7 linked regions of the Cricetulus griseus genome follow. The protein of the gene in region 2 interacts with the protein of the main gene of each other region in a pairwise test. Links are inferred from orthologs where the notes say so. Each region holds a gene or a part of one and is shown on either strand. Other genes may lie near its edges. The genes, in order: Tfg, Maged1, Smap2, Ca8, Ttc23, Pitx1 and Rbfox1.

Evidence for each region.
Region 1: the proteins of Maged1 (region 2) and Tfg interact in binary tests that used the Homo sapiens proteins (3 or more experiments, as listed by UniProt). The two-hybrid records come from large-scale screens. The link is inferred for Cricetulus griseus from reciprocal best matches to the Homo sapiens genes MAGED1 and TFG.
Region 3: the proteins of Maged1 (region 2) and Smap2 interact in binary tests that used the Homo sapiens proteins (3 or more experiments, as listed by UniProt). The two-hybrid records come from large-scale screens. The link is inferred for Cricetulus griseus from reciprocal best matches to the Homo sapiens genes MAGED1 and SMAP2.
Region 4: the proteins of Maged1 (region 2) and Ca8 interact in binary tests that used the Homo sapiens proteins (3 or more experiments, as listed by UniProt). The two-hybrid records come from large-scale screens. The link is inferred for Cricetulus griseus from reciprocal best matches to the Homo sapiens genes MAGED1 and CA8.
Region 5: the proteins of Maged1 (region 2) and Ttc23 interact in binary tests that used the Homo sapiens proteins (3 or more experiments, as listed by UniProt). The two-hybrid records come from large-scale screens. The link is inferred for Cricetulus griseus from reciprocal best matches to the Homo sapiens genes MAGED1 and TTC23.
Region 6: the proteins of Maged1 (region 2) and Pitx1 interact in binary tests that used the Homo sapiens proteins (3 or more experiments, as listed by UniProt). The link is inferred for Cricetulus griseus from reciprocal best matches to the Homo sapiens genes MAGED1 and PITX1.
Region 7: the proteins of Maged1 (region 2) and Rbfox1 interact in a two-hybrid assay, tested with the Homo sapiens proteins (2 studies listed by BioGRID and IntAct). The link is inferred for Cricetulus griseus from reciprocal best matches to the Homo sapiens genes MAGED1 and RBFOX1.

Annotation. Positions count from the first base shown.
Region 1 is NC_048597.1:35,455,611-35,459,110, reverse strand, and holds part of Tfg (protein TFG), read right to left. Parts: intron 1,844-3,500; coding exon 1,697-1,843; intron 1-1,696. UniProt on the Homo sapiens protein: Plays a role in the normal dynamic function of the endoplasmic reticulum (ER) and its associated microtubules. Required for secretory cargo traffic from the endoplasmic reticulum to the Golgi apparatus.
Region 2 is NC_048604.1:75,451,632-75,455,768, reverse strand, and holds the start of Maged1 (melanoma-associated antigen D1), read right to left. Parts: upstream 2,801-4,137; 5' UTR 2,635-2,800; intron 2,090-2,634; 5' UTR 2,061-2,089; coding exon 2,016-2,060; intron 1,321-2,015; coding exon 619-1,320; intron 59-618; coding exon 1-58. UniProt on the Homo sapiens protein: Involved in the apoptotic response after nerve growth factor (NGF) binding in neuronal cells. Inhibits cell cycle progression, and facilitates NGFR-mediated apoptosis. May act as a regulator of the function of DLX family members.
Region 3 is NC_048595.1:31,195,823-31,199,322, reverse strand, and holds part of Smap2 (stromal membrane-associated protein 2), read right to left. Parts: intron 2,915-3,500; coding exon 2,749-2,914; intron 2,191-2,748; coding exon 1,877-2,190; intron 1-1,876.
Region 4 is NC_048595.1:152,453,388-152,457,366, reverse strand, and holds the start of Ca8 (carbonic anhydrase-related protein), read right to left. Parts: upstream 2,801-3,979; coding exon 2,701-2,800; intron 1,952-2,700; coding exon 1,760-1,951; intron 1-1,759. UniProt on the Homo sapiens protein: Does not have a carbonic anhydrase catalytic activity.
Region 5 is NC_048596.1:129,512,652-129,516,151, forward strand, and holds part of Ttc23 (tetratricopeptide repeat protein 23), read right to left. Parts: intron 2,601-3,500; coding exon 2,473-2,600; intron 1-2,472. UniProt on the Homo sapiens protein: Participates positively in the ciliary Hedgehog (Hh) signaling.
Region 6 is NC_048596.1:274,817,914-274,821,917, forward strand, and holds the start of Pitx1 (pituitary homeobox 1), read right to left. Parts: upstream 2,801-4,004; coding exon 2,632-2,800; intron 442-2,631; coding exon 209-441; intron 1-208. UniProt on the Homo sapiens protein: Sequence-specific transcription factor that binds gene promoters and activates their transcription. May play a role in the development of anterior structures, and in particular, the brain and facies and in specifying the identity or structure of hindlimb.
Region 7 is NC_048600.1:39,362,281-39,365,780, forward strand, and holds part of Rbfox1 (RNA binding protein fox-1 homolog 1), read right to left. Parts: intron 2,155-3,500; coding exon 2,062-2,154; intron 321-2,061; coding exon 260-320; intron 1-259. UniProt on the Homo sapiens protein: RNA-binding protein that regulates alternative splicing events by binding to 5'-UGCAUGU-3' elements. Regulates alternative splicing of tissue-specific exons and of differentially spliced exons during erythropoiesis.

The sequences.
Region 1 (3,500 bases), on a different chromosome or scaffold from region 2:
CTCCTCAAGTTGCTTTTGGTTATGGTATTTCATCATAGCAATAACACCAATTGTGTGTGTGTGTGTGTGTGTGTGTGTGTGTGTGTGTGTGTGTGTGTGTGTGTGTGTGTTAACACAAATGTACATGGAGGCCAGAAGACAATCTCCAGAGACATTTCTCAGGAGCTGTCCAGTTTGCTTTTTGAGATAGGGTCTTTCAATGGCCTGGAATCCACCAAGTAGATTATAGCCCAAGAACATTCCACACACACTATATAACAGAGTTCTATTCCTTAGAGAAGAATGTGGGTCACTTAGGCAATTGCTGCATGGTAATAGCTATATGTTGGTTGAATTTTGGTCTGTCCTTCATAATCTTTGACATGGTTATGTACATGCTATTTGAACGTGCATTAATTCTTCTGGGAGAATGGTCTAAAATGTTTTCATTCAATCCTTGATTTTAGTTTAGAAAGCTCAAGTTCATGGCTGGGGAGACTGTTCCAGAGGTACTACTTGCTTTATATTGAAGAGGACCTGAGTTTGGAAATGCTGGAATCCAAATAACAAGCTGGCTAGGTAGTACATCCTGTAACCCCAGCATTGGCATGACAGGAGGCAGAAACAAGCAGATTCCTGGACTTTACTGGTCAGCTAGACTAGCCTACTTGGTGAAGTTCCAGGCCAACTGGAGACCCTGTCATAAAGCAACAGGTGGAAGGCACCTGAAGAATGACACCTAGATTGTCTTGTGACCTCCAAAAGCACATGAACACCATGCTGCACTTGCGAGTACCTCCACCCACACACAAAAATGTACACAAAAGCAAACAAAAAAGGGCAACAGTTCAGAATAAGCAAATTGCTTTACTCTGAAGCATATAAGCCTTCATCATAAAAGTGTCCAAGAACAGTTTAGTAAATTTCACCATATTCTGAAATAAAGGTGAGCTTAGACATTACTAATTCATCAGCAAATATTTATTGATCATTTACCAGCTTGAAATGTGCCAATAAGCCTGAAATTATCTTTACTATTTATAAATAGTTCATGCCACCAGTAAAATGCAAAAGTTTTTCCTTTGCATATTATTAAAAACTGTGTTAAAATATACTTAAAAATACTATTTTAAAGTACTAATCTAAAATTGCTTTGCACCTGAAACTTAGTTTTTACTACATAAAAATCATAAGATCATTTCAATTCCTAAGATTCCTTAGTTATCCCACGACAATTCACGAAATCAAAGGGTTTGAAAACAAACCTAACGCATGGACTTCAGTGTCTGAGACTAAATGTAAAGAAACCATCACAAGAGCACTACTGACTTATGCTATCCCCTGGGCATTAATTTACTACTATTCAGTACTGGGGACTGAATCCAGAGCACCGCACATGTCAGGCAAGTACTCTTCCACCAAGCAACTTCCCCAGTCCTATAGAGCACTTTAAAAATGGGGTTGCAGGCCCTGTTGTCCCATAGCTCTATGATTCAATCCAAGAAGCAGTATAATGCAACTTCACAGTAATCCTAACAAACAGCTATCAGATGCTGACATGTACAGAAAGAAGCAAGGACAAGAATAAAGAAAGATGCAAAGGATGTCATCCTACTCCTACCAAATCATCATCATCACACACACACACCCTCCCTCCCTCTCTCCACAAACATGGTAGAAGAATTCATCAGAATAGAATAAAATAAGCTCAGCTTACCGTTTTCGGGAATACTGGTAGAAGGTCCTGGTTCTCCAGGTGGCTCCAAGCAATCCAATAAGCGATTCACTTTATTCCGAAGTTCTATCAGTTCTCGACGAAGATATTTCACCTGACTTGATTCAAGGGGTCTTGGTTGGCCATTAACTAAAATGGAATCAATAATTTGCTTAAATTTAGGAGATGAAATTAGAGTAAGTATGCCATTAAAATAACACACTAAAGAAAAGTAATCAGAAGAAATAAGTCATTTTACTTTCATTCATTCATTTTAACTTGTCTGTGCATGGGGAGTATGAATGCTGGTGAGTGCTCCCATGGAGGCCAGAAGTTGATGCTGGCTGTTTTCCTCTATGGCTTTTAACCTTACTTCTGGAGACAGGTTTCTCACTAAACTAGCTAGCTAGATTGGCTGACCAGCAAGGCCCGGGGATCTGTCTGTCTTCTTTCTACCCCTGCTGAGTTGATGAGTGTTTGTGGATCAGAACTCAGATCCTCAGGGTTGAATAGCAAGAACCTTACACACTGAGCCATCTCCCTCACCGCTAAAACTATTTTTAGAATGTTAAAATTTAAAAGTATTAAAATATATACCTTTAAAAAGTAACAAAAAACAAGACATGCAGTTGATGTCATTTAAATACATCCCCCCTCCCCTTTGTTTTTCAGACAGTGTGTTACTATGAAATCCTGGCCAGCCTGGAACTTTGTTGCTATGTTGACCAGTCTAGCCTCAAACTCAGAGATCTGTCTGCCTCTGCCTCTCAGGCACTGGAATGAAAGGCCTGTATCACCATACCAGGCCTTTGGGTAACTTTCTTTCTTTCTTTCTTTCTTTCTTTCTTTCTTTCTTTCTTTCTTTCTTTTTTGTAGGAAAAGACAATTGCTTATAGCTTACTTTCTAGAAGCAGAAACACCACCAGTCGTGATACTAGCAAAAATGTTTACTATAAGAACTATAATAATAAAATACACTGATACTGTAGAAAGCTCTAGTTTCATGAAAATTACCAAACTGAAATTCTTTTAACAGAAATAATTTAACTTCCAAATTATATTTTGTACTATGTAATATTCATGAATTAATACAAAACACATTTCTCTATAGGTAAGTAATAAGACAAAATATGACTGACAAATGTTATCCAGCTTGCCTCTATTTGACTTCATTAACACAAACAGGCCAGGCCTTTAGTCCTAGCACTCAGGAAGCAGAGGCAGGCAGGTCTCTGTAAGTTCAAGTACAAAGTGAGTTCCAGGACAGCCATGCTGTTACACAGAGAAACCCTGTCTCGAAAACAAAAGAAAAAGAAACAAATACAGTTGTTCCCAAAAGGCACCTATCAAGCCAGGTGTGGTGATGCATTTGGTTAATCCCAGCAGTTGGACAGGTGGAATCTCTGAGTTCAAGGCCAGCATGGTTTACACAGGAATTGCAGCCAGTCAAGCCTACACATTGAGACCTTGTCTCAATAACAAAGTATCCATTAACAAGTTATGCAGAGCTTATGAATCAACACCATCCTTCAAATCCACTGCTTTTACAGGTACTAGGTAAAGCCACAAGTCAATTACTGAATTATCACCAGGGATTTTTTTTTTTTTAAGAAGGCAACATTATCTAATTTAATTACCCATTCTCTCAAAACTGTGTCACAACTTGGAAAACACAAATGAAATTGTATTGAGTCCTCATTTCTTCATTTTCAAGATCCAGCCTCTTAGCAGTTACTTTCAATTTTGTCTAAAACCAAATCCTATCTGAACTATCAGTTTCTGAGAAAATAAGTGTCCTCCCATGACT
Region 2 (4,137 bases):
CTAGTGAGGCCCGCCTTTGATCCCCACTGCTGTTCTCTTCCACATTCAAGTTATTAATCTGCATCGTAAGAGAAAAGAAAATTCCAGAGTCACTATTAATCCTTGGTCCTCCCAGCAGCTAATCTAGGAAGTTCCTATGAATTTTCCACCTATAAGGACATTCTGACCCTTCACTAGTCATCGGTCACTTTATGTTTATTTTTCATTGTCTTTCAGGTGGGAGATTCATGTCCAAACCAGACCAAGAACAACCATAAAGTGGGGACTAGGGCTTCTCCTTTTCCTGTGTGACTACTGCTATCATCCTGAATTCAAGCCATCTCATTTCATCCTGTGTTTTCTCTAGCTAGTGAGGTGAAGCTTCAATGATAATTTGGTGTGAGCCAGCCTAGCTTACGACCTCACCCATGGTGTTTACTGTCAAAATGTAAAATGACCTATACACAGGTGGTACGGTGATCCAGATTATCTGTCCTTGTATAAACTCACCATCAACCTGTGGACAATCAGGGGTCAGGAATAAACATTTACCTCAACACCCCCTAAAACCTAGCCCCAATACAGGTATATGCGCCCTTTATTTTGTTTGGAGCTAAGTAAAGCTAGGAGGGATCTCACCTTGCGGGTCCTCTTGCCCCGAATTATAGTCCGAGACTCCACATTCTGAGCCTGGGAGCCATCGGCTGAGGTCTGTGCAGCTGCACCACCAGTTTCAGAGATACCTGGGCTGGTCCCTACATTAGCCATTTTGGCCTGGTTTACATTCTGGATCTGGGCATCAGCTGCAGGGACCTTAGTGGTATCATTCCAAGCCTTAGTAGCTGTCTTAGGCTGGTTGTTGATCATCTCATTGGCACTGGGAGACTGAGAGAAATTGTAGGTGGCACCAGGGCCTGCCTTAGTAGTGGTATTCTGGACCTTAAAGGCTATTTCAGACTTTTTAGCTGCTGATTTGCCTGTGGTTGCTCCGTGGGAAAAATTAGAGGCAGCATTTGGCCCTTTAGAGGTGCCATTATGTGACTTATAGGCCGCCTTAGACTGGTTCTTGGACATCTCCTTGGCATTACGTGCGTGAGAGAAATCATTTGGACCCTTTGAGAAGGTATTCTGGGCTCTAAAGCCTGTCTTAGGCCTAGCAGCTGCTGTTGAAACCCCAGTATCAGCCACCTGATTGGCAGTTGGGGGCTGTGAACTCTGGGGACTAACATTCTGCCCACTGGCAGCTGCTGTGGCCTGGTTGGTGGGTGGAGCCTCGGAGATCTGGATGGCTTCCATCAAGGTCTGCACAAGCAAGGCGCTGTCTTCTACAGAGGCCTCAGCCTGCAAATACAGGAGGGGGAATTTCAACCTCTGGGCCTTACAAGCCAGATCAGAAGGAGGGGCATACGCAGCAGGGGAGCTGTAGACACGCATCGCAGTTCACAGATCTGGGGGCACAGAAGGGTCAAAGGGAGGCGGGGTGGGAACAAAATTTGGTTAAGAATAGAGGGGGCAGGACAAGGTGAGGGCAGTCAGAGGCAGCAGGGACTGGTGAGGAACCGTGGTGCAACCACTGACCCCAAACAGGTTCAGAGCCGGACTGGTTAGGCTTGCGGTGGGGAGCTCAAGACCCGAGGAGGAGGAGGGAGGAATCGCGGAGGATAAGCAGGGAGGGTGGAGGGGGAGTCTCGCGGCGTGGAGAAAGGGAGGGTGGAGGCGAGAGGTTGGGGGATGGGGCGACAGACTGCTCTACACGCGTCAGGGTTATGGAAAAAAAAATGGTTCCTTACCCAACCCGCATTCTCTGGGCAGAATGCCCTGACTAACAGGGTCTCCCCTTTCTCTAAGCAGGGACCGATGGCTGAAAAGGGACGCCCCTCCCCCCATTCGATAAACGCTAGACATTTGAGAGCCAGCGGAGTCTAGGCCGGAAGAAGGGCAAAATCAGAGCCTGCCATTTGTGCCACCAAAGGGGCCGGGGGGTGCGCGTAATCTGTCAGCAGGGAAAATGGAGGAATGGGGAGCGGGGATCTCACCTGGTAGCCGCGGAGGCCTGCACCGCCGTCCGGTTTCTGAGCCATAGCTCTTGTGTCTCTGGCAAGAGCAGAGCCTAGGGGGGTGTGGGAGAGGAACTAGGCATTACACTACAGAAGGAAAATACGTAGGGCCGAATTGTGTGTGCGTGTGTGGTTTGATGCTGGGGGCGGGTGAGGTGCTGGATAAGGGGAGAAACAAGCCTAATCAGAGCGGGAAAAGTAAATGAGCATCCTGATGGGCAATTTAAAAATTCCAGAACCCGATAGGGAAAAGCTTCAAATCCGCGTTCTGGAATCTGATAAGAGCTCTGAATGCGGCAGTTTTCGGGGGGCGGGGGAGAGCGAGGGGGAAAAATTCGCTTCTGGAAAGTTGGATTGAGGTTCTCAATCAAAAGGAATCTATAACGGATCAAGGTCGAGAAATTTGAGGATTCTGTGAAGGAATGGGATAAGGATTCAGAGAATGAACGGGGTTCTAAATTAGATGGGGGGGGGGGTAAGAATCAGGGATCGGGTAGTGGAGGGGGTTTCTGAATCCAGGGTAAAGGGATTGGGATAAAAGAATGGGGGAAGGATGCCACACCAGGGGGCAGATGCCCAGTCTGGGGGCTAATCTCACCTTGCCTCAGGCCCCAACCCCAACCCCCTTGCTGTCTCCCTTCTTCACGACTCAGAGGATCAGGATTGCTGTGCTCGGCTCTCAGCAGCCGCACTCTCTCCTTGTCCAGGAGAAAATGCCAGCGCGGCAGCTCGGGCGACCCCGCCTCTTCGCCTAATATACCACCCACCGCCTCAGGAAGCCTCGCGCATGCGCAATAGCTAACTGTCCAAATAAGAGTCCCGCTTGCTTTCCCAACAAAAGCTTCATCCTAGAGACCTTGTCGCGCATGTGCACTTGGAGGAGATCCCGCCTCTTTGCCAACACACTATCCCACCGCCAACCAGGTTGACAGTGTACGAAGGTTCCTCCCCTTCTTCTTACGCACCCACTCCTCCAACAGATGCGCAGCGCCTTTTGGTCCCACCCCCTTGCCCAACACACCAGCCCCCTACCTTTATCCGCAATGCGTCTCTCCTCAGTCCCTCCCTTCCCCCCCCACCCAGGACTCTCTAGCCAGGCCTGCAAGTACCTCCCACCCCTTGCTTAGGGCCTCTTAGGTAGGCCTCTGCGGGGGGTCTCTTAGTTCGCTGCAAGCTAGGCCTCTGCTGAGTTCACCCACTTTGCAACGCAGGAACCTTAAAGGTCGGCCTTGGGGGGGATACATTCCAGGAGGTAGCAAAGCAAGTGCCAGCCAGGGGGTAGATTTCCTCTGACCAGACTCAGAAAATGAGCTTTTCTCTTGCCGCCCTCCCCACCCCGTTTTCTTTTTATTTATTTATTTATTTATTTATTTATTTATTTATTTATTTATTTGCAGTTTTGCCATGGAAACATTTCATGAGGTGTGGGCCAGAGAGGGGAGGGAAAGGCATAAGGGCAGTGGGATCTGTCCTGGAGCTGGTTTTTCTCGAACATCAGCCCTAGAAGATTGATGGAGGGCAACATCTTCATTTTGCATACCAGGTAGCTAAATCATAAACCCACTGTATGAACCAGGGCACTGAGCAAGTAACAAACAGAGAGGGCAAAATTTGGCACAGCACAGTGGTGCACACTGGTAATCCCAGCACTCTGGAGACTGAGTGAGGAAAGCCACGAGTTCCAGGCCAGGTGCACAACGCTGAGACTTTATCCAAAAACCAAACATGGGGCGGGGCGGGGGGGTGGGGTGCGGATTTTCCTGACTGCAAAATCTATATAGCTATTAGTGCTGGTCTGAGAATCAAGACACCCCTTAATTTTTCATTGAAATGACAATCTTTCCTCTCCCCAATATTTGTTCCAAGTGGACAAAGCCTGTGTTCTAAGAGGCCTAGTATATGTGGGAACCCTTCAGGTTCACTCTGTACTCCCGTTGGCAGGCACTTGCCCAGAGTGAGACCCCAGGACTTGATGATGCTTGCTTGAGGCCGGAGCAGTCAGGTGTGTCTGTTCTGTTCTTGCAGAATGAACCTCGGCTGGGCTTTAGAATTGCGTGATTAGTGTCGGGACTATCTGTCCCTGGTTATGTGAGCCCCTGAG
Region 3 (3,500 bases), on a different chromosome or scaffold from region 2:
TATGTATGAGTGTTTTGTCTCTGTGTTTGAATGAGTACCATGAGTGTGCCTGGTGTCTGTGTAGGCCAGCGGAGGGCATCAGTTCCCCTAAACTGGAGTTACAGACAGTTGGGAGCTGCCAGGTGGGTCCTGTGGAAGAGCAGCCAGTGCTCTTAGCTGCTGAGCCATCTCTCCAGTCTGGTTCTTTTACTCCTTTGTTTTGTTATTAGTTTGTGTATGTGTCTGTGGGGGGATGTGAACATGGACACTACACCTTTTTTTATAATTAGTTTCCTTCTCTCACCTGGTCCATGCCTTTTGTTATCAAATATATTTTCAGCTGAATCCATTCACCTTACTTTAGTCTTTATTTCTGATATTATTTTGTCTTTTTTTTCAATTTGCCCTTAATGCAGTGAACTTCCATTTTACAATTTGCAGTTTTCACAGTTCTCCTGACTCAGCCTCCGAGTTCTGGTAATTCAGGTGCCAGCAGCCATACCTGGCTTCAAGCAGTCTTTCTTTCTTTCTTTTTTTAAAATAATGTATTTGCATTGGTGTTTTGCCTGCATGTATGTCTGTGTGAGGGTGTCAGATCTTGGAGTTACAGACAGTTGTGAGCTGCCATGTGGGTGCTGAGAATTAAACCCGGGTCCTCTGGAAGAACAGACAGTGCTCTTAACCACTGAGCCATCTCTCCAGCCCTCAATCAGTTTTTCTTATTTGCAAATGTTTGTTTAAGGGGACTTCATTCAGGTTGGTGAATGTGTAACATGTTTTTTCTGCTTCATAATTGGGAGGGGGGTTCATTACCGGCAATTCTTCAACTTTAAAATGACTTCTTTGGGTGGTTCATGCAACCTGTTTTGAACATAATTACTCCTCACCCCAACACTTCCCCAATTCACCCAACTTCCCTACTCTCTCAGCTGTGTGTGTCTTTCTTCTTTTTTAATCCTTCAAGAACAATTTGTGCTAACCAAATAGTCTCAGATACATGGTCTTCTACTGGAGAGTGGTCAGTTTACCAGGGTAGCACTTAGGGAAAGCTCTCTCCTCCCCCTAGCTCCATGGCGTGGGGTGGGATCATGTACTCTGACTTTTGTTTTCTACTTTCGCCAGCTACCACGTTCTGCTAACTTCCTAGCACCTCATTCTTCTGAGGCAGTGACAATGCAAACAGACGTGAGCATTTGGGGATATTACAGACAGGCATTCCAGAGCGCCCTCTCCTGTTTGTGGAATGACTACACAGATGAATGGATGGTGTGTCTTCTGCTTTGTCTGTCTATTCCATTCTTCACTTCTTTCTTTCCCATCACCTCCAGACTTTCAGAGACTTTCCTCTTCCTATGTCACACCCGCCTCCACACATACAATGTCTTTCCAAGTCACCAACCTAGATGCCCGTGTGTTTCACTCCCATGTCTGTGAGGCCCCAGGTAATCAGAGCTCTACTCTGCCATGCCAGCTCTCAGTATGCCTCCACCAGGATGGGCCTTTCTCCTTCTGGCTTTGTCACCTCTAGGCCTCTGCTCTCTCTCCTCTTTCTGCATAGTCTCCTCTCTGGCTCCGTGGGATTAGGGTGCTCCTAACCTTAATGTCATGTCATGCATCATGTACTAGCGCTTTTGCTTGTGCCCCCTGATTGTCTGTAGAGGTTTGTTTTGTTTTTAGGTGTGGGGAGACTCAGTCAGTCTATGGGTCTTGTTCTCTGGGAACTTAGGAACCCTCAAAAAGTCTGACTTCATCCAGGCCTTCTAGGGAAATAAAATGAGGTATATCTCTGGCATTAGCTTGTCCATTTGGAAAGGATTTGGGGGATAAAGGAGTGGCACCAGGTGGGACACCCAGGAAGGCTCTCAAGTCCCATCCCAGGTACAGTACGGCTGCTTACCTGAGTAAGGTTCCACTGTAGCTGCTGAGCTGGCTGAACCCCATACATAGTCTGGGGCATAGCTGCCATGCTTGCCATGTAGCTGGCCTGTTGAGTCATCATCCCGTTGGGCACACCCATCATGGAAGCCTGCATGCCCCCCATGTAGCCTGCAGGCATGGCCATGGGGGCCACCATTCCAGAGGCTCCTGGTTGAGCTACCATGCCTACTGGTGGTGGCATCATGCTCCCCATGATACTGTTAGGTGGTGTAACCCCAGGGAAACTGGGGTAAGCTGTGGGATATGCCATCTGAGCAGGAGCCATGAACATTGCTGCCAAGAAAACACACATAAGGGTCTGTTAAAGAGTAAAAGACACGTTAGCCCAAATACTCACCAGCTATTCCTTTCCCGGAAGTTCTCTGATTACTCAACTTGGAATCCTGTTCTCCACAGCAAAGCAGCAGGGTGAACTCTCTTTAAGTCTCTCTGAGGTCACCACTGGGCCTTGCTCTTATCTAGTCCTTCCTTTTTCCCGGGCAGACCCTCTCCCTCATCATGCTGGATCCCATCCCTGCTGTATTCTCTCTCCATTTCATTTCATATGTGTGAACAGAGCCTTTCCCTCTCATGGGGCCCTTTCTAGTTTCTTGGACTCTAGCCTTAATTACTCTCATATGTGGATTCTAGCACACATGTTTACTTGTGTGAGAGCAAAATAAAACATGTGGTATGTATGTTTCTAAGGCTGGTTATCTCAATAAAATTTTTTCCAGTTCTATCCACTGTTTACAAATTTCATTTTTCTTTATGGCTGAATAAAATTCTATAATTTTGCATGTTTGTTCTCAGTATGTCCTTGGAGCACCTCTGTGACTTCACAGACTTTACCTTGGGCAGGCATTTGAGGCGTCTGGGATCCATACAGTGAGAGGATGGAGTCCTTGGAGAGCTGTTTCTTGCCTGTTTCTTCTGATTTGCTCCCTGGCTCAGGAAACAGGTTCAGGTTCTCAGGGACAGAACCAGCACTCCCTGCAGTTGGCATGGAACCCACAGCCTAGGGCACAGAGGACAGTGGCGAAATCAGTCAGCATGGAACCCACAGCCCAGGGCAGTGAGAAAACCACTGGGCATGGAACCTATACCCTAGGGCACAGAGGACAGTGGGAAAATTGGTTGGCATAGAACCTATAGCCTTAGGGCATAGAGGGCAGCAGAACAATCAGAATTGTTGCCTGTGTAAGAACCCTTACAGTTTCTGATACTTCTACCATTTCTGATTAGAATTAATGGCTCATGTATAGTTGTGAAAGCTCATACCTATAATCCCAGAATTTAGCAGAAGGCTGGCTGAGAGTTTGAGGCTACCTGGGTAGTGAATTCTAGGTCAGCCTGGGCAATGTTGTTAAAGTGTAAGACAATGGGGGATAGTGGGTAGAGAAAAAGAAATGAATTTATAGCTTATGTTAAGTCAGTTTGTCACTGTGGAGGCGGGCTTTGAGGTCTCATATATGCTCAATCCATGCCCAGTATCTCAGTTCACTTCCTGTTGCCGGTGCAAGATGTACAACTCTCATCTCCTTCTCCAGCACCATGTCTGCCTGCATGCTGCCCTGTCCCACCATGATGATAATGTACTGAAC
Region 4 (3,979 bases), on a different chromosome or scaffold from region 2:
AAAGTGGTCATGAGTTTGAAAAAGAGCAAGAAAAGGTATATGTGAGGGTTTGGAGAAAGGAAAGGGAAATGATGAAATTATATTATGACTTCAGCAAACAAAAAATAATTCTTAGAGATTCAAAGTAGTTGTTGCTAGAGAAAAACAAGTTGTAGGAGGAGTGAGATAGGCTGTAGCTAGAGGTAGAGAAAATAAAGAAATAGCCAACTATTCAAATTATGTCTGTATTCCATTTTGATAAAGAAAATACTTCCTTAAATAAATAATGGTGTTCAGAGTTTACAGAAGCTGAAATATCCTAAAAAAGGTAATAAACTACTCAAGACATTGTTTTTTTCAGTTACTTGTCTTTTTTAGATAAGTGTCCACTATGTAGATCAGACTAGCCTGTACTCACAGAGATCAACCTTCCTCTGCTTCTGGAGGGCTGGAATTAAAGGTGTGTGCCACCATGCACACCACCAATTAACTTTTAAGTTTGCTGAAATATTGAAAAGGAGAAATTACTGCAGTGACAGAAAGAGAACAGAGCATGTGAGGGAGGAAAGTCCCAGAGGACTGGAGGACAAAACCTGGAGCAGGACAGAAATACAGGTGGTTCTTCCTACCACTCAGGAGTGGAAGTCAGAGGAGGAAAAGGACAAAGGAGTATACCAAGTATATGGTAATGTAAAATATACCATAGCCAGAGGTAAACATCTCCAAGACATAGGAGGAACTTAGGAAGAAATATACTAACTCTATACAAAACACAGACTGTGCTTCAGGAGCCATCACAACCTTGATTAAACTTACAACAGCCTCAAAGAATACATGTTCTATCTCACAGATTTCAAATAAAGTGCCGAAACATGATAAGTTAAAGGAAGAAATCCGTACCTTCCTTGCCTAATGTCAGACCTAAAGGTTTTATGATTTAAAATACCTACCCTATCAATCTGAAGTTAACGTAAGCACAGCCTATTAAAGCTCACATCAACATCCAACATACTCTAATGTTCCATTCTTTCCAGGAGGAAAACGGTCATTATCCCCCTGAAAAACACAATGTTAATGCTTGTTTTTTTAATCTGCTTTCATCTCTCCTACAATTAAGCTGAAAACCAATTTCCCTGGAAATTTAATTTTTCCACAAACCATTTCAGATCCATTTCAACTAGGTTCACGAAGAAGGGTGTGTAAAACTAAACAAAACCAAGAGCTAGGTTTCCATTTAAATATCTGGCTAAGCTTCCATTTAAATATCCAGCTAGGTTTCCATTTAAATATCTGGCTGGGTTGAACTGTTATTAAAATCATTCTTGACATTAATAGAGAAGGGAAATTTAATTTGAAAAGTTTATCTTGAACATGAACAACATCAATAAATTCTGATCTTTGGTTTCACAAACCAGAAAAACGAAGAATTATAATTAAATGATTTCAGCTAATCAATAATTTTGAACAAGATGCACAGAAAAAAAAAAAACTCAAATAAACATGCCTGTGTATGTACTGCTTTCCCCACAGTTCGGTAAATGTTTGTTCAAGCAACAGAGGCGGCTCCAGGCACAGCTTTGGGAGAACAGCCAGCTGAGACAGCCATCACTTCACCCTCTTAGCCCTTCACAGCTATTTCAGAATATAATTCCCAGAAAATGCATCTTGTAAAGAACTATGAAGATAGAAATTGCATCGGTGCCCCCTTTAAGACCCTGTAAGTTAAATCAGAGATTGTCCACTTGCTCACAAAAGCGCAGAAACACACTTTCCAAAATACCTGATTTTGACTTTAGGATAACTTGAATGGTGTGTCCATCGTTGGTGACTTCACAGTCCCTGCAGACCACGTAATTCGGAGACAGACGGACATCCAGCAGCGACGGATCGTACCTAGCTTCTCTGGAATTTAGGTTGATAGGAGACTGGTACTCCCCGTTGGCATCGGGAAACACCAAGCCCCACTCAACACCTGAGGAGAAAATAACAAAAATTGAGAATAGGTTTTGTTTAAGTTAGCAACAATAAAATATAACATAAAAACTCATAATCCTTGATATTATAGCTATGACTACCATCTATATATAAATGAAATATGAGAAATGTGTATGGGTTTTTACATTCATTATGTGAGTGATCTGTTTATATTTATAATACCACACACGAAATTCTTTACTGTGTGTTTATATCTGTGCACACAGATGCCTTGATTTTAGGGATTTGGGAAACGTAAGTCATTTTTAAGTGATCAGAAAAAACGCCACAAGAATTTCCTCTGCTCATCAGTTCAATTACATGCAATACTTAGAAAATATCTGCAATGTTCAACATGCTCAGAGACAGCAGAAACCCTGTGGTGCTGAGTAGCAACACTTGTTTAAAAAGCAAATACAGTATCCCATGCACATGTTTATGGACTCCTTTGCGCTTTTTTCCCTCTGTATACAGTAAACATGGGCACTAATGTCTATTAGGAGTCCTGGGCTTCCGGGACAGATTTAGGAAACTCCTTTTAAAGTCTCCAAGAACACTGACCCAGCTTGAATTCGGGACGCATTTGGCGCATTTGGTTGTACTTCTCAAGACTAGGAAGCAACTAGGTTTGCTCCGGGCTGGGCTGCCTGAGAGCAGCAGGTGCGAACTGCGGACGGGCAGCCTCGGAGAGGAAGGCGCCGGACCGCGCCGGGCAGAGAAGCAGCGACAGCAGCCCCAGGAACCTACCTTCCTCGTAGCCCCACTCCACGCCCTCCTCCTCCTCCTCCTCGTCTTCCTCCTTCTCGGGGAAGGCAACTGCATCCTCGATGAAGCTCAGGTCAGCCATGGGCAGCTGTGCGGCACGGGTGCGGCAGGCGCGGGGCTGGGGGCCGCGCGGAGCGTGGCAGTCCCCGCGAGCGCGAGCAGCGGCGGCTTGGACTCAGGCTGGCGCGTTTTAAGGCCGGTGGGGGCGTGTCTGGCCTGAAGACCCGCCCCCTACTAACACCCTCCCTCCTCCCCCCCCCAACAGAGCCGCCAGCAGAAAGCCGAGCTGGGGTGGCTGCACCCCAGGAAGCCTGCTGCGCCCAAGCGCGACCCCAGGACCCGCCTGGCCCGGGCGCCTCACCTTGCTCCAGGCAATGTCCTGAAATGAGCGGATGGGTGGCCTTGGCATGGGAAGGGCATTGAAGACCGAGAACTCAATAAGACTGTGGTCAAAGGGTTTATTCCCCATCATTTACCCGTTAGTTTTGTTGGGGCTTGATTTTGTAAGACAGGGTCTCAAGGAGACCAGGCTGGCTTCAAACTCCTCCCTGTGGAGAAAGGAATGACCTTGAACTTCGTAAACACTGGGGTTGCAAGAATGCACCACCACAGCCTGGGTCGCTGTCCTGTGAGCTGGTTTTACTTTTTAATTCGTCCTTAGAGCACAGTGAAAATGTGCATAGCATTTTTTCCCTCAAGAAACTCCTACAAACATTTCAGGAAAAGAAAAGGACGAATTTAGCATCAAGAAGTAGGTATACTTTGGGAGGTCTTTACTAAATGTATTTCAAAGACAAGGAAACAGGGTGTTTGATTCCACTTTCTAAGTCCGGGGTGCTGCTTCAGACTCACCTTACTGCGTACACTGCTCCCAAGCAACTCGTGAAATCGTGCAAATAATGAAATGCACACATTACGAAACAAACAGGAACTTTCCCTGATCCAAAGAGGTCAAGTCGTTACCTCTGGAACATGTTTCCCAACCCCAGGCTAATGCTTCATCTCTGTGTTCCAGCCCTGTTCAGTAACCCCTAAGCTTCTGTTCTCCACATTTTAGGAGATATATTTGTATGATAAGCTCGGCTGCAGGCCTGGCGTACAATTTACCTTTTATATATCCTGTGCACACTCCAAAATGTCTGTGAGCAGATTAATGGACTGTGGTTCCTAGATCGTTACATCTTTATGCATGCTAGTTCCTCAAACAGGATGGAGATGATTAATTGGGGGACTTTGAGATGCTGGATTCCTATCCTTCACT
Region 5 (3,500 bases), on a different chromosome or scaffold from region 2:
TTCTGGACTTTCTGTTCTCACGGTGAATGCTTAGGAAGCCGAAAGTAAACATTCCATGGAGCATGACATCATGCTTTGTCCTATTTATTTGTGCCAACATGGAATAGGAAAATAGGAGCTGGTCAGAAAATAATATTCCCCGATTATTAATGTTTGCAGATACTAAGACATACAGGGGGAAAGCCTGAACTTCCAACACATCCTGAAATTCTTACTGGATCTTCCACCTGAAAACATAGTTATGGTTGTACAACGTGAATGCTGAATTCAACAGTCAAATAAAGCCAGGACCACAGAAAGGGATTCCCATAGCATAGCCCTGGTATGGGTGGATGGGGGCACATCCCGATTCCATGTCGTAGACAGGCAGACATGTGAATGAAGAACATGGCTCCTTTTGGGCAGTAACGTGAGTTAGTGACTGGGTTGGCACATTAAGGGTGGTAATGAGCAGAAATCAACTTCTCAGGCAAAGCAACTGTGTAACTTGCCAAGTGTGGCTCATTGCAGCACTCAGAGGTCTGGGATCTCCATGCATCCCCCTCCCAACACCTGTGAGGTGGCTTTCCCATGGGATTTGACTGCTGGGCTTTGGGAAGTCAGTCAGTGATGGGGAGAAGGGCTGGAGGTTCTTCTCCTGAATGAAGCTTTTGACACTGCTTCTGTTGACTAGGGAGACTAGGATGGGTGCGTGTCAAGTTAAAAGACACATTCTGATGACAATGGAAAGCAGATGGGAAAACTTAATGGGAAGAACCAGAATTATTAAGAGCAGTCATAGCAGGGAGGTGTTAGAAAGGGGCAGTATGGGCTGGGGAGGCAGATGGTCTTTAAAAGTACCTCAAGCATAAGGGCCTGAGTTCAATCCCCAGAACCCACATAAAAATGCCGGCTGTGGTGGTGTGCACCTGTAATCCCAGAGCTAGGGAGGCAAAGACAGAAGGCTCCTGGAGCTTGCTGGGCAGTTGGTGGTGGCAAAACCTTTAATCCTGAGCACTCAGGAGGCAGAGGCAGGGGGAGCTCTTTGAGTTCGAGGCCAGCCCTGGACTATAGAGCGAGTGCCAGGATAGGCTTCAAAGCAATACAAAGAAACCCTATCTCAAAACAAAACAAAACAAAACAAAACAAAACAAAACATCAGCAGACTCTGGACATTGGGAGGGTCATGCCAGCTTTGCCATGAGGGTATTAAGGTTCATTGGAGAACCAAATGAGTGTTCGATGTTCAGGTGTGCTTTCAGAATCTGAACAGATTAAGGTAAAAGTGGGGAGGAAGCACCTGGGAAAGAGAAGATTCTAGAGTGGTCCTGATGAGATGATGGATGGTGGGAGGGGAAATGTTAAACCATGTGTGTGTTGAGGAAACTTGGAGGTGAATGAGGAACCTGTGAAGTCCCCATAGGACTAAGATGGAGTCTCGGGTAGGAATCCGAGGCCCTAGCAGGGCCCTGTATCTTTGGCTGGGTGATTCAGAAGAACAGTGAAACACTATTTGTTATGGTGACTGTGCATTTACTCTGGCCTGACAAATGGAATGAGTGCAGAATAAAAGCCCGTGGTCCTTAACTGAGAGAAAAGAAGTCAAGGATGAGGAAAGCGTAGTAGGGAGAAGACAACAAAGACAACTCCAGACAACAAAGAAAGACTACTTTTCATCTTCATCTCCAAGATCTGCTATGCTAGACTGAAAACACACATACACACATAACACACACACACACACACATACACACACACACACATACACACACACACACACACACACACCACACACATGCACACATCACATATACACACACATACCACACACACACCACACACATACACATACATCACACATGCACACACATACCACACACACACACACACACACACACACACACACACACACACACACAGCACACAGCACACACACACACACACCACACACCTCTAAATTATCTACTTTCTTTTCCTGGAGCTGCTCTGACTTACACGGAAATTTTTTTTAGTATACTATAAGCTCTGGCTTTGTCCTACCTTTCTAAGTCATGTTGAGCATGCCTTTACAGACCAGCAGCAGAGACAGTGAGCTGGGACCTCTGTGCTGGGTAGTTTTTGTTAGAAATGAAAATTCCATTCAATATACAGAAGAGGAAAAAAGGAATTGACCACACTGAGGGCCACAGACCACCCCAGCTGGAAGAACCTTGGGCTTCAGTGAGGGCTCTTGCCCACTGAGTTCTCAAGGTTTTCAACCCTTCGTGACCTTTTGTAGTTGGATGTAGCATTTAATTTCTCACTGTTTTGTTTCTAAGAGGAAGCATGTGGATGCTGCCTGAGAGTGGCTCCTTGATTTACTTACCTGGGTCTCTCCAGAGGCTAGGACATGCCCTGTATATACTAGGTGTTTAACAGATGGTTGAAGGCTGAAAGAGTAGTCTTTGGCATCCCGTAGGAATAGCTTGACAATTGTGATCTAAACTCACTTACTTCTTTTTGTCCAGTGATCTGCAGAAAATTGCAAAATTCATCTTGAATGGAAAGGAACTTGACTCTTCCTGCTCCTTCAGAATCCTTCACATGAGTCATGCTTTCCTGAAAATACTGCTCGGCCATATCTGAAAAGAGCACAGAAGAACATTTTGAAAATAGCTCAAAGATCCAAAGCAGAGATGGAGCAAATATGTTGTTAGTGACGGTGAAAGGTTTAAAAATAACCATTTGGATAAGAGAAGCCAGTTCGAGGGACTCTCTTGTGCCCGTTAATCTGCTCATTTTATCAGAAACTATTTTCACCTCAGAAGGATACAGCAAGCTATTTTTCTTGTTTTTCAGACATTTTAGTGTTCTTGGTGATATGAGGGGCAGGGAGGGGGAAGCTATCCCAGAGCCGAACACACTAGGATATTGATAGAACATTTTCTCTGCCTAGAAATCAGTCACTCCTCACAACCCATATAGTTCTGTGGACTCTTTATATTTCTTTAACACACACACACACACCAAAAAAAAAAAACAAAAACAAAAAACAAAACTAGAAAATCTAGCTGATACACTAGCGAAGAAAAATCCCAACCATTCTAAACTCTTTTGGGGGGCGAGTTTCAAGACAGGGTTTCTCTGTGGCTTTGGAGGCTGTCCTGGAACTAGCTCTTGTAGACCAGGCTGGTCTTGAACTCACAGAGATCTGCCTGCCTCTGCCTCCTGAGTGTGCTGGGACTCAAGGTGTGTGCCACCACTGCCTGGCTCCATTCTAAACTCTTAAACACACTGATTGATAAAATAAAAATGGTTTGACATAAATGATAATCAGAAGAGCAAGAGAAGGAAGATCGAAGGCATGGAAAATGGAAAGGGAATTGAAGACCAGAGCTGTGACTACACAACCCTCTGCTGTTGAAACAAACACCTGAGATAAATCAGCATAAAGTAAGGACAGCTAATGGTACTCACACTGTTGGAGGTTCCAGCCTGTGCCCCAGCCTGTGGCTCTGCTGCGTCCCGTGATGGGGCAATGG
Region 6 (4,004 bases), on a different chromosome or scaffold from region 2:
CTGGGGTAGGGACAGGGTCTGACAAGGGGTGCAGTGGCTCCAGCGGGTTAGGTGAAAGGGCTCGGAAAGTAGCAGCCCAGGGGCCTAGCTGTGGGATCTCGGATGAAAGAGGGGGAGGTCTGCGAGGTCAGAGTTAAGTCTGACCTACCGAGGGCCGCGCCAGAGGTGTCCCGCGGGTAGGGTAGCCCTGCACGCGCCCCACGCTCACCCGCACTCGCGGCTCAGTGAGGTTGGTCCACACCGCAATCTCCTCTCTCATGCTCATGTCCGGGTAGCGGTTCCTTTGGAACGTGGCCTCCAGCTCTTGCAACTGCTGGCTTGTGAAGTGAGTGCGTTGCCGCCGCTGTTTCTTCTTCTTGGCTGGGTCCTCTGCTCCGCCGCAGCCAGCGCTGCCCGTGCCACCGTCCTCGGGCCCCTTGGCTTCCCCGCCGCGCTCCTTGTCTGCAGCAGGTAGGAAGGGCGCGAGTCACCTCGGGCTAACACTATTGCACCCGGTCCCGGCTCCACCGAAGCCGGAGGGAGTGGTGGCTGCCCTCCCTCCGACCAGGGACCCTAGGAACTGTCCCCCACTGGAAAAGAGCGGGCCGGGTGCTGGTCCTTAGTAGGCACCTCAAGGTCTGGTGTGCCACCGAGAAGAGCCCAGACGCCCCAACCGGACCTGGGGTCCCGGCTAGGCGGAGCCTGCTTCCTGAAGCCCGCGCTGGCTGCGGCCTGGCTGCTCCTGTCACCAGCAAAAGCACACTGTGTTTGGAGACTCTTGCGGGTGTAAATCTTCCCGGAACATCTCTGTTTTTCTGAACTAGTACCAGAAATTTCCAACTTAAGCTAGTAGATTTGTGGGCTAAGAGCCCAGCAGCAGCTGAAACGTTGTTGCCCGAGCTGTGTCAGAGCCACAACGGCCTCGGGTCCCAAGGTCTAGAAAACCCACCAACTGCAGCCTAGATAAGACAGGTTCTGTGTAAGTGACCGTGCCTCTCTGTCTCTTTAAAGCTACAGGAGATGCGCACAGCCAATAACATTTAAATATAAAGAAAAGGAATTAAAAAAACAAAACAGAAGCCTAGAGAAGCTCATAGCTCTCCACCTAAAAACACAAAGGTCCACAAATCCTCAAAGCTAGGCAGACAGAACCAGAGCAAATGTAAATCAAGAAGTCAAAACCATTCGTGCAAACACACCCCTAAACTAAATACAAGGCCAAATGTGTATAAACCAGTCACATAGGTATTTCTCTGGGAAAAAAAATCCATGCATCATTGCAAATAAGTTTTAGACCCCTTCACAGTAACACCCTGGTAGAGATTTTCGAACCCTAGAGAAATACGTTATAGCTATACTATTTAAATTCACAAAATAAAACTGCTACAAAAGGGTTTTGAAAAAAAAAATCTCAGAGAAATGCGCCATTTTGAATTGACTTTTAAATTTTGCTCCAAGAATCATGCGGTATGTATGTATTTTAAATTCCAAAGAAATACACCTAATGAATTGTCTCAAAGGAAGCATACGATTAAAATTGTTAACCACCCCGCTGATTTGATGTAAAAAGCAATGTATAACTATGTTCTTTTTTGAATTTTAAACAAACACCACGCTTAAAACTTTTGAAAACAAAAGTACAGGCAAAGCTTTGTTTTCTAACCAAGCAAACAGACCGGCTGGGGAAAGTCACTTAGAGATGCAAAACAGAAACAAACAGACTAAATCAATGAGGCACCCAGGGCCGGGACAGCGGGCAGCCGGGTGCTCCGCGGCCACCCGGGGTTGGGACCCAACGGATTCGCAGCCACTCTGAGACAGGACAGGCCTGGAAACGGCCACAGCCGAAGCCGCCCAGTCGAAGGCTCAGCTCTTGGGTGAAAGAAAGAAAGAAGGAAAGAAAGAAAGAAAGAAAGAAAGAAAGAAAGAAAGAAAGAAGAAGAGAGAGAGAGAAAGAGAGAAAGAGAGAAAGAGAAAGAAAGGGAAAGGAAAAGGGAAAGGAAAAGGGAAAGGAAAGAAAAGAAAAAGGCAGCGCGGAATTTGTGGGGTCAGTCTAGAACCGCTCTGGCTGGACCCTTGGTGGCTCTGAGCTCGGGCGTCCACGTGGGCCGGGACCCTCCAGCAGGGTTCCTCCGGAGTCAGTCCGCGCCTCCTGGCCGGCTTGCTCTCGCTGTCCCCCGGAGCTCCGTTTGACTGACCCCTGTCTTCTAACCTGCTCTGTGCGCCTACCCCTCCTTTAGGACCCTCTCCTCCTTCTGCACCTCCCGGTTTGTCAAGGTGTCGCCCGCCTGTGTCTCTCTGGGCACTTTGTCTCGCTTTCCCCTCCATTCTCCATCTGCTGTTTGCCCTGCGCCCCAGCGGCTCCTCAGCGATCAGTTAGGGAAAACTCAACTTTTTGTTTTGTTTTGTTTTTTCCTCGCGCGTGCAATTTGCGCCTGTTCCACAGAGGCTGTCAGTCCCACTCTGGGCTTGGCGTGTGGGGACTGCTTGGAAGCGGCTTCGCGTGTGCGTGCGAGAGCGTGTGTAAATTTCCGCGTTCACCGTCAGGTCGAGACCGGGCAAAAGAAAGCTCCGGCATGCCCATGCCGAGGCGCAGGGGGACCCGGCCGAGCGCCAAGCCGCTGGGTGCGCGCCGCGGGGAGCCGCGCTTACCTGGCAGATCGGTGTCGGACGACTCGCTGGCCGAGTTCTCCAGAGGCTCCCGGGGGTCGGCGGCGCGGGCCAGGTGAAAGCTGGGCCCCATGTCGTGCGGCGGCGGTGGAGGTGGCCGCAGCCCCTCCGGCAGCCTCTCCAGGCTCATGCCTCCCTTGAAGGCGTCCATGGAGGTGGGGACCGCAGCGGGCGCTCCAGGGGCCGGGGCTGGGCGCGCCCGGCCGCCCCGGCTGCGACCTGTTGGGGACAAGAGCGCGGCGCCTAAGCGGCTGCCCCCCAGGGCTGCCCGCGCCAGCAGCGACGCCGCCCGCGCTCCATCGACCGCCCGGGGCTGCGGGGCCGGGCGTGGGGCTCCGTGCTCCGCCACGCGCTCCGGCCTCAGCCGCCCGGCCGGCCCGGGCCCCGCTCCGGATTCGAGGCCGGTTTCTAAGGCTCGGGACGGAGCCCGCTGAGTCTGTCTGAAAACGACAGCGCGCGCCGCCAGGTTCCAGCAGTCCCTGCGCCAGGGGTGGTGGGTGGGCCTCGGTGGGGGGGCTGGGGGAGAAGGAGGAGGGCGCGAGCGAGCGGCGAGCGAGCGAGCGCGGCGGAATCCAGCCCCGAGCCGCCGCCCGCCCGCCCGCCCGCCCGCGCCCTCTCCGCCGCCCTCCCTCCCTCTCTCCCTCTCCCTCCCGGCCTCGCCGCGCCCTCCCCCTCGCAGCCACCTTCCCGCCGCCTCACCCCCCCCCGCGGCCTCACCGCGCCTCTCCCTCCTTCCCCGGTGACACACCGACTTCTGCCTCGGCCGCACAAAAGAAACGCATCTGGCCTGCAAGTCCCGCGCGGCTGGTGCCCACCTTGGGGCCCCAAATGACTTGTTTCGCTGAGAGTCAACTCCTGTCTGGGCCGCTTCGAAGTCGCCAGCCGCTGGCGAGAGCAACCTAGGATGAGTGAAGGTTCGCCCGCCGAACAGGATCGCTCTGAGCCCGCGCCTCCGAGCCAGCACCAGGCGGGGGGCCGAGCCAAGGGCCGGTTCCCGGCTCCCGCAGCTCCCAGCGGTGTCCTCGAGGGGCCGCCGGCCCCTCCTTCCCCAGTCTCTTCTCCCAGGAACTCGGGCCGGTTGAGTGACAGCAGCCTGCGAGCTCTAATGGGCCCCCGGATGCAGTCTTCTAATTAGCTTGGACACTCTCCCCTAAGGCTGCTTCTCAGGCCTTCGTCTGCACCGCAGTCAATTTTCCGGGATTGGGATAGAAATGATGGCTTCTAATCAGACGAAACGTTTCTGTTGGCTCTAGGCCGTGGTGAGTGGGGCTGGAGACCCCAAGAGCCCAGCAAGGCCCATTACCTTTTCCACCTCCGCCTTTGTTTTACACCTCCTATGATCAGGCTTTTGGCAG
Region 7 (3,500 bases), on a different chromosome or scaffold from region 2:
TTGACACCAGTGCATCACCCCTAGTTGAAATCAGTGGGCTAACATGAATAAGTAAGACATGAAGTTGGATGGGAGATATGATGTGGATTCTTTAGAAGGATTGGAGGGGGGAGTTGGGAGTACATGTGGTAAGATAAAATGTATCCATGTATAATACTTTTCAAAGAATAAAATGAAAAAGAAACAGATTCCCTGGTTAAAGAACACTGTGGACTTGTAGGCAAAGAAGGTATCTTGTGGTAGGCAGGTATCTACTTACCATTGGTGTATGGGTTGACAGTCTTTTTATTAGTCATTACACGTGCTGTTGCGTTATTAACCTACACACATAGAAAACTCAAGTGAGTTTGGATGCCAAGGCCAGCCCATGATTCAATTAGTTGCATGCATTATGACTGTGATTACTTATTGAAATCAAAACCAAGAAACAAAAACTTAAACAAAAACTGAAATGCATTTTAATTTACAAATGGCAATAGGTGCATAACCCAAAAATCATACATTTTTATAATTACATTTACTTCATAACAGATTTAACTTACAAATCATTTCAATAAAGCAATGTCATCTCATTTAAAAGTTTAATAAAGAGACAGTAAAAGCAAATTAAAAGATAATGCATAATTGAAGATTTAAAAGCATGCGTGTGCTCCATGGTAACACAGAAACAAGAGATAGGTTTTTAAACAGAAAATAAAGTTAATATGAAAGGGGCATGCAGTGGAGAAGGGAGAGGAGACAAAGTACAGGGAACATAAATGTCAAAGAAAGGGACAGACAAGTTTAAGCCGTGTGCAACACTTTGGGAAGGGAAACCATGGGGAAGCAACATCTAGCATTCAACACTTGGAACAAGAGCCTTTTACATTGCAAGAATTAACGAATCATTCAAGCTTTAAGGTCACAGCTAACAAAAGGATAAAAGAGAGGGTGCATTGTGTAACACAATATGGAGTTAACGATCTGAGTAAGATGTGCACTGGTCATAACTCAGTCCAGTCAGAGCCTCTCAGGCTAGCTTAGAACGTACACTCAGTTACAGGCGTACCAAAGACCCAAAAAAATAGAGCATCAAGAAAACTTAATACAACAAGTCAAAAAAATCCACGTGGTAGAGAGATATGTATAGAGATATATCAGCACTAAATACGTGAAGCGGCAGATGGACTTCATCACTTACCATTCACCACCATCGCCAGCATGGGTTTGTATACAGTTACCATGGTTACTGAGGGTTTGGTGAGGGGCCTAAGCGTTACCGTCGAGGGGGGAAAATAAAAAGGCAAAATATGCGACATCTTACTCCAAAGACTAAAGCATTTTTAACTGGTAATTTTTTTCTTTTCAAGTTTTAACAAATATGACCCTTTGATTGTGTTGAAGAGGAACCCAGTGGTACAAAGGGCAGGTGCTGAATGTCAGAACGAAGGGTCTACATTTCCAATTGACAGGGGCCATGACTTAAGCGGGAAATGCTGATTGCCTATTCAATGTCTAATCATTGAATGCAGAAATTGAAGCTGGCTTTTGTTTTTTTAACAGCAAGATTTAATGACAAGTGCCTCTCACTTTTTCTGTTTTAATATTTTGAAATGTCATTGCCTTGGAAATTTGGTCTAATTTGCAAACCACTGTGGATCCCTCTTCAACCCTAAAGTGGACTAAAAAGGAAACAAAATAAAACAAAACTTGATATATATTTGGTTTTGTTTGGATACTGTGTCCTCTTTGGAACCTATTGCACCCATTGTTCATAAAACATGGAAAATAAAATAAAACAAACAGACAGAACCTTTCATATTAACCTCCCTTTCATCTCACTTTTTTTTGCCATCTAATCTCCAGCAGTAATATAAAGAATAATGTAAAGTAAAATTTAACAGAAAGTAAGGCCAGTTTTCCTTTTTATATCTAAATATATATATATAAATATATATAAACAATGAGAAGGGAGTAGGGTCACACACGAGACACCAATGATGCACCTGGAAGGACAAATGAGCGTGAAGCAGACATTTATAAAAAAAAAAAAGAGGAAAGGAAAATATTTTGGACATGCACCTCGATTTTACGGCCCTCTACCACGGTACCGTGCAATTTCTCCCTCGCCCTGTCCGCATCCGCACTATTTTCGAAAGTTACGAAACCAAATCCCTGCATGCAGGAGGGAGAAGGAGAACAACATGCATATTATTATTTCAGTCAACGACCACTTGGTAAAGTTCTCTCGCTTTCATTGCTATTTCTTGTCCTGGCTTCAGTTCTGTAACATGCAAATTAGAGAAATTATAAGAACACTACGATGTGCAGTCATTAAGCAACAAATGTGAACGAGATTTTTTTCCTGTCACCAGTTAGCTGGAACCCCTAAAGAATTCAAAGATGGATATGGAAACGAAAACCAAACCAACAAACAAACAAAAAAAATACCTTTCTAAACATCACTATGAAAGAAAAGAAATCAAACAAAAAGAAAACGAGATCAAAATAAATGTACAGTGTCTTCACAGAGAATAAATGAAATAATGAGGAAAAAGAAAGGGAACCAGTTTCTTGACATGCAAATTAAAAAATCAAACAAAATAAAACGTGTGCACGGGAATTCAACAGTGAATGCTCAAGTCCTGTCACATTGCCTACGGAGTCATGCTGCGTGGATTTAAGAACAGTTCTTCTTCATGCAATTTTAAGGTTATTCGATTCTGTCAACTGTACAGCATTTGCTTCTCAAAAATAAAAGTAACAAGCCTAAAAAAGGAAAGACCTTTTCTTATAATAAATTTTGAACTTGTGGTTCTAATAAACAAAAGAAAAATCACATGAAATGAATAGAAACAAACTTTTTTGGTTAACAATGTAGATAAGCAAGTACCATTCTACATTTGTACTTTGCCCTCCCCCTTCCCCAAATAATAAAAGGCTTTAGAATTTGACCTTTTATATTATGTTATTAACCAAAAAACAAAGTTCTAGGGCTCTAGGCTGGCATTCACTTGCTATGTCAACAGGTACCAAAGTAAAGACATTTCCTAGATGGGAGAATCTATGTACCATCTGAACCCATCCTCTTTGACTGATAAACATCAAATACAGCCCTTGTTTGCATCACAAGTACAGTTTTTGCTTTTAATATTTCAGCCTCTAACACCAACCCCAGTATTCCATTTTTTAAAAATCCATCTTCATTCTTTACTGACACTGTTTCTATGATGAGTATAGAAAAATCTGACATACTATTCCTAAAATCCTTAAATATATTTCTACATTTTGTTTAGAAATATATACACCAACCTTTGGAATAATTCCAGTATGTTGGGTCCACATTGGTATAAGTAGGAAGCAATTTCATACTCTATCAATTTTCACAGAATAAACCTAACACACAGTCAAGACAGTTACTTGACCCTCATACACGACATTGAGCTTTACAAATAAAATATGCAATAATTACACTTTAGAGTGGTAATAGCCATCTGATATTGGACAATAGTCCTATAATG